Linked DNA regions of Danio rerio. The protein of the gene in region 1 binds, or shares a complex with, the protein of each later gene. Links are inferred from orthologs where the notes say so. Each region holds a gene or a part of one and is shown in the gene's direction. Other genes may lie near its edges.

Region 1 (3,659 bases):
GAGTTATTTTTTTCTGTTGAACACACACAATTATATATAGAATGTTGGAAACCTGTAATCACTGACTTCCATAGTATTTTTGTTTTCCATACTATAGAAGTCAATGAATAGAGGTCTTCAACATTCTGTCCAACATGCCTTCCTTTTCCTTCCATCTTTAACTGCATGTTAACACTATAAATACAGATTTGTCCTAACAAAAGCATGTGTCTGGTGGCTTTACAGGTCAGATCCTGCAGGTGGTCAGAGCTGCCAATGGAGCTCAGTACATCATTCAGCCTCAGCAGCAGATGCTTTTACAGCAGCAGGTTCTGCCGCAGATGCAGCCTGGGGGTGTTCAGGCCCCCGTCATACAGCAGGTCTGTGCTTTATTCTGCACAAACACTACACTCACTTTCTCATCAATCTTTGACTTGCTCAACACAGGCTCCTTGGAAATGAAAGTTTTATCCTTCATTTTTGAGAAACCACAAAAATGTCCTCAAACATCCGTTTGATCAAAAATTCTTGGTGACAAGATCACTACAGGGCAGTAAGACTGCAAAAACTTTACTTCCTTTTCACCCTAATGGTATTTATGGACCGATTGTCAGTGAATAAAGGATTACTTGTATGCATTTTTTGCACACACCAAATAAATACCACAAAGCCACTTAATGTCTATGATTTTAATAATCAAAAATGTTTGCCTCGCCTGTTTAACTATATGTATAAAACTTTTCTGGTGTGGTCAGTTTGCTTGGAAACTCACTTTGTACAGTAGTGTATGCAAGGAGTTCTGTAAAGCACTGTTTCACAAAAAAGATTAGAGCGATGTAAAATCAAGGCAAACGGCACTTATTCTTACATTTACTTTTGACAAATAAAGGATTAAAGCAATGTAAAATCAAGGTAAACATCTCTTATTGCTCTGCTTTTGACAAATAAAAGATTAAAACAATGTAAAATTAAGGTAAGCATCACTTATTGTTATTACACTTTTGACAAAAAAATATTAAAGCAATGCAAAATCAAGGTAACCAGCACTTATTTTTATTACACTTTTGTAAAAGAATAAAGCAATGTAAAATCAAGGTAAACATCACTTATTGCTCTACTTTTGACAAATAAAAGATTAAAGTAATATAAAATCAAGATAAATAGCACTTATTTTTTCACCTTTGACAAAGATTAAAGCAATGTAAAATCAAGGTAAACAGCACTTATTGTTATTACACATGACAAATAAAGATTAAAGCAATGCAAAATCAAGGTAAACAGCACTTATTTTTATTACACTTTTGACAGAATAAAGCAATGTAAAATCAAGGTAAAACAGCACTTGTTGTTCTTACATTTACTTTTGAAACTATTATCTAGGATTAGGGAGGAGTTTAGGTTAGTGTTATTTAAGAAAGATGTTTAACTGAAATGTACAACAAAACGGGCCCTAATTAATGTCTATCTGATTCCCCAAAGTGTAGACAGCGCCCTCTAGTGTATTTGTCATCTGAAACGTGCAATGAAATGTATGCAGAGCAACAACGTTTGTTTGGCAGGAATGTAGGCTAAGGCACATATTTCTAATGAGCCTGTGCTGTACTCACTTCTAGTTCAGTCACTGGAGGCTGCAGGGTTTACTGTGACAGCATGTGACCAGTGGGGTTTTGTTTCCCCGTGTCAGCAGTGGTCTTTAGCTAGCCAATGTTATATGCCTGTCAGCTCTCTTAGTCGGTTTGAAAAAGGAAATAACAGAAATAATAGTGAATGCTTCGCAGGAGGAGAACCGATGTAGAGAAGAGACAACTAGTCTTACTTTGTTTAATAAAGATCTGATACACTATTCACTATTGATACAACATTCTAATAAATTTTTTATAAATTCTAACAATAAACTGTTAGTTAATAAAAAGCAATGTTTTCTAGTCATTTTTAAATATTAATAAATAAATTAGGAATTTACTCATGACAACTATATTTACCTTCGACCCACTAGCCCAGAGGTGTCAAACTCAATTCCTGGAAGGCCGAAGCCCTGCACAGTTTAGTTCCAACCCTGTTACAACACGCTTACCTGTAGGTTTCAAACAAGCCTGAAGGACTCAATTAGTTTGATCAGGTGTGTTTAATTAGGGTTGGAACTAAACTGTGCAGAGCTGCGGCCCTTTTGGAACTGAGTTTGACACCTGTGCACTAGCCTCACTCAAATTAGCCTTTTTTGCCCTACATTAGAAAAAGGTTTGGGCACCCTTGCTTTAGACGATGACAATTAGTCAATAACAAATGCTTTTATTTGTTATGCTTGAAACTTGGGGGTTTTTCCACCAAATATGATAGCAAAATATGTTGTTTAAAAATGATTAATGTATATAACTTCTGAAAACACTGCATGTTTTATTTATTAGGGTGGGGTATGCAGTAAAGAACATTATTTTAAATCTGTACGAAATGCCATCAGTAGTTTAAAGAATTAAAAAAGAAATACTCCATATTTAAACAAAACTTAAAGCTATATTTTTACCAAAATGTAAATGATCAATTTATTCACCCTCTGCTTGTTCATGAGCTTCTTTCTTCTGTTAAAACACAAAAGAAGATATTTTGAAGAATGCTGAAAACCTGTAACCATCGACTTCAATAGAATGTTTTTCCTACTATGGAAGTCAGTTTTTCATCATTCTTCAAAATATCAGCCGAAACTCAAAGGTTTGGAACCACTTGTGTATTAGTAAATATTGAGCAAAGTTACATTTTTGAGTGAACTGTCCGTTTAAAGGCATAAATCAGAGAAACAAAGTATTTCAAGTGGTCTTTTAGTTTAAATGATTAGACTTGTTCTCCTACACCTCGGTTTATGAGAACAGGAGTGTATTAAGTGTCTCTCTCTCTGTGTATTGATGCAGGTGTTGACTCCTCTTCAAGGAGGTCTTCCTCAGCAAACCGGAGTCATCATCCAGCCGCAGCAGATCGTCCTCACGGGGAATAAAGTACCGCAGAACACTCAGGTCAGCACAAGCTCTCACCTTAAACTAAAATCTCTGTGATGTCTGTGAAATTGATGTCTCACAAATACATTTCATTGAACATGTACACAGGCATCACCTATATCCTATATAACTGCGGTTTAGATATATAATAATTAACAGGTTTATAATATAATAAGTTTCACTGTTAAAAGCTTTTAGTTACTAATCAATTAGTGATTAGTAACTTATAAGGTAACTAATAACCTTTATTTTTCTGACTGTAATGCAGTAATGTACACCTTTTGCGAAGCTGCTTTGAAAAAATATTATTGTGAATGTCGCTATACAAATCAACTTCAATTTGAATTGAATCGTGTGTGCTTGTTTAGGTCATGCAGGCGGCAGCGATGGCAGTGCAGTCGGGACCGGGAGATGCACAGGTGCAAACTCAACCACAAGCGCAGCAGCAACAACAACAACAGCAGCAGCAGGCCTCGCAACAACCTCCTATGATGCTCCAGGTAGACGGCGCAGGAGACACGTCCTCAGAGGAGGATGAAGAGGAGGAGGACGAGTATGATGAAGATGAGGATGAAGACAAGGAGAAAGACGGCGGAGAGGACGGCCAAGTGGAGGAGGTGTGAATAGCCGCATTTCCACTATCGGGCCAGTGCGAGCCAGGGCTTTAATCGGGCCGGGGCGGGCCAATAGCCC
Region 2 (3,759 bases), on another chromosome or scaffold:
TCAGTGCAAAATTTCTGATATTTGTTAAGTTGAGGGAGTTTGATAAGTTTCTTTGAGCTATTAGCATGTACAGCGTGTGGCTCAATTTCATTTACATGCAAATATTATGCTAGAAATTCAGTCCTGTTACTTTCAGTCCTGTTACTTATAAGAGTTACAGGAATGAGTAACAATAATGAAAAGCATCTTCTGATACTTAATAGAATGAACAGTTTTTATTATATTATTCATCTGATTTCCACACGTTATGGATGGAAATGTTGAAGTTGTAAGATATTTAAAGGAATAGTTTTCTCAGAAATGACAGTTCCACTACATGACACACACACACACACACACACACACACACACACTCTCTCTCTCTCTTTTCACTTACTGATTTGGTTTTCTTGTGAAAACTTTTTTTCCCTACAATTTACTCAGTTAAGTTCTGTACATCATATACTTAAATGTTAAGTAAATTATGTTATAAAAAACATGAATTTCAGGCCACAGTTTTCTTGAAAAAAGGGAAAGTGCCTTTGCATTCCTATAAAAATACATTTTTTTATGTAAATCGTGATTTTTTAAATACAAAAATCAAATGTTTGAAAGTGTAACAAACCATATTTTAAAAAGAAAATCACTTTCTTAAGAGGAAAACAAAGTAATTACCTGATAGACTTTTATTCATGCTTTTTAAAAGACTCGTTAGTTTGGGTAATATGACTGAAAAATGCATTCATCTGCCACATAATACCTTGTAAAAACTCAAATTAAGTCATTTTATGTGGACCAATACATATTTTGAAAAGTTAAGTATGTGTGTTATTAGATTCCGCCTTGAAAAGTAATTAAAAGAAGTTTAATTGTAAAGAGTTACAATAAGCAAAATGCATCCATTCGGTGGAATGGTCAATAATTACTCCCATGCTAATCACCATACTCAACTTTTACAAGCGATGGTCAAAATTAGATATATAATCCAACCATTTTGACCCAAAGTGTATTAAAAGACTCATAATAAAGGTACCTCTTAACTCTGTCGTTGTGTTGAAAATACTACGACCAGACTACGACACAATACTGCCCCCGGTCGTTATTCACTCAATATTACCCTTTTTCCCATGTCTTCCCATGTCATGCGCATGCGCAGTACAACGTGCGTCCATTAGTAGCATCGTTCGCTGCTGGTTTTGAAGCAGGATGAACGCGCCACCAGCATTCGAGTCTTTTTTGCTGTTTGAGGGAGAAAAGAAGTAAGTGCACTATAAAGCTGTCTTTGCTATTCAATTATACTAACATATTATACTAGCCTATAATAAGAGTAAATATTCAGTTGGAAGACAGGAGGGAGATTCAAAAGGCTTTAGCTTGTTGGCTAACGACAGGTTACGTTAGTCAGTCCATCTGAAAACAAAATACAACCTACTTCTGTTTACAGAGTGCTTTATACAATACAGCTTAAATCATATCGACGATTGATTCATTCACTATTTAAGTTTATTGTTCATTATTTTTGTATAAACGAATACAATTTCAGATGCTAAGCTGTTTGAATAAGACATGTAATACCAACATTTAGCTCAATTAAGTTTAAGTTGGTTAAGTGACCTTGTGAATCTAAATAAAAGTATTCGTTTTTAGACGTACTTTAGGTCATGATACCATGACATTTTTTGAATACCATGTAAATACCATAGTACATGTACAGTAATTGGTCTCAGCATCAAATTAAATAACAGAGGTAATACGTAACGTTAACATATAAAATTTATGCAAATAAGGTGTGCTTTAATGTTTTAAATAACTTTTAACTATAAAAATAAGATTGTCAAAAATATTAGTAAAATAACCTTCCATATAAATATGAATATATTTTTTAAAAAGTAAACCTTTATTGTAATCTACATTGATTAAAATATGCAGTAGTAAGTGCTTAAACTAAATTGTTTTGCCTTGTAAATGCCTCTTTCTGACAGATATGCTTGACAAATTTAAGTAAAATTGGTTTTGTATTCGCACATTTGGACTTTCTCCTTAATATAATTTCAGAAAAGTTTTATTTGCAAATTCTGAATAGAGAAATCATTAGCAGCCAATGACTATCAAAGTACAACATTGTTCAGTCAGGTAAATAGTACTTATGTTTTTGAGAAGTCATATTTGCAGGCTATTTTAGACTGAATATTCAAAGCAGTGTGATAAACAATATATGCACAGTGTTACAAGGTTTCACTGTTCAAAAATTACCAAATGTCTGAATATAAAACCAACTTTACCTCAATGCTTGACAATACTTTTTGGCATAAAAAAATATTTTTGCACTGAATGACATTTAAGTGAGCATCTTCTCTTAATAAGGGTTAAAATTATAGTAGGATAAAAAGATGATAAATATGATGATAAAGCTTATTATATTTTGTATATTTACCTAGAAAAACATTTTTCATCTCTGATCTACTTAACAAAGTGACATATTACTGCCAACATTGTACCATGATACCACAGGGTCTGCGGGGTCTTAAGAACTATTAAAAGTTGATTAATCAATGTAGAGAAATGTAAGGCCCTTAAAAAGTATTTTAAAATCCTAAATGCTATTTTGCAAGGTGTTAAATTTTATATAATTTTGATTGTGCAATGTAGGTATGGTTGTATGCTAAAGTTTGCCTGAATTAAATCTAAATGTCAGGATGCTGTGTAGTTTATGAAATCAATGAAATCCTGCTAGATTTGACATCATGCAGTTTTGTTTACTGCAGTTATCAAGGAAAAACCATTATTTCTGCAGTTCTATAGGCACCAACCTGCTGAATTAGCTATATTTAATAGATTTTAATTCAATATAATTATGTATATCAATATGTAAGTTTTTTACATTAATATTTAATAAATATACTGTAAGTTAAAATCTCTTTATTGTTTCCGATTGAAATCTTAAGTGATAATAAGGTCTTAAGGTCTTGTATGGAGAGAGTCTTAAAGGTATTGAAATTCACTCTCTGGTTCCTGTATATACTCTGTACCAAAACATTACTATTTTTAAAAGTAAGGGATTGCCTAAAATTTCTGTTCAACTTCTTTTTACAGGATCACAATAACCAAAGACACCAAGGTGCCGAATGCATGTCTGTTTACTCTAAATAAAGAGGATCACACACTGGGAAACATCATCCGATCGTAAGAGACCAAACTTTTGATACACTAAAACATTTTCAGATATTTATGTGGGTTTTGTAATCATCCTATATTTACATTAGAGCAATTCCATGCAAATGTCAACCTTGTCATGAAAAAGATTAGGTTTTAACTCTGTGGTTAGTTGTTTTGGAAAATATAAACAGATGTTTCAGTATAATGTTAACACATACTTTCTCTGTGAATGTGTTTTGAGATCTTACTGCAAATGTCACATTTGTAACATTGGAATTGCTCATTAGGCAGTTGCTGAAGGACCCCCAGGTGCTGTTTGCTGGATATAAGGTTCCTCATCCTCTGGAGCATAAGGTTGTGATCCGCGTTCAGACGACACCAGACTACAGTCCTCAGGAAGCCTTCACTAATGCCATCACGGATCTGATCAGTGAGCTGTCCCTGCTGGAGGAGCGATTTAGGGTATGTTCATGTGTTTGCATTGAGTAAAAAATGATTCCAGAACAAGCGCTCCTGAAAAAAATGCACTCTATAGCAGCACTGCAAAAGACAATTGAGGTAAAGTTGGTTTTGTATTCACACATTCAGACGTTCTACTTAATATTATAATTTCAGAAAAGTATT

The links. Proteins that work in one complex are often made in the same cells at the same time.
Region 2: gtf2a1 (region 1) and polr2j share a complex: the UniProt entries of both Homo sapiens proteins name them as parts of the TBP-based Pol II pre-initiation complex. The link is inferred for Danio rerio from reciprocal best matches to the Homo sapiens genes GTF2A1 and POLR2J.

What each region holds. Positions count from the first base shown.
Region 1 is NC_133195.1:17,666,187-17,669,845, reverse strand, and holds part of gtf2a1 (transcription initiation factor IIA subunit 1), read left to right. Parts: intron 1-225; coding exon 226-359; intron 360-2,882; coding exon 2,883-2,984; intron 2,985-3,334; coding exon 3,335-3,583; intron 3,584-3,659. UniProt on the Homo sapiens protein: TFIIA is a component of the transcription machinery of RNA polymerase II and plays an important role in transcriptional activation. TFIIA in a complex with TBP mediates transcriptional activity.
Region 2 is NC_133180.1:67,354,067-67,357,825, forward strand, and holds the start of polr2j (DNA-directed RNA polymerase II subunit RPB11-a), read left to right. Parts: upstream 1-1,149; 5' UTR 1,150-1,185; coding exon 1,186-1,238; intron 1,239-3,072; coding exon 3,073-3,162; intron 3,163-3,422; coding exon 3,423-3,597; exon of another isoform or gene 3,598-3,759. UniProt on the Homo sapiens protein: Core component of RNA polymerase II (Pol II), a DNA-dependent RNA polymerase which synthesizes mRNA precursors and many functional non-coding RNAs using the four ribonucleoside triphosphates as substrates.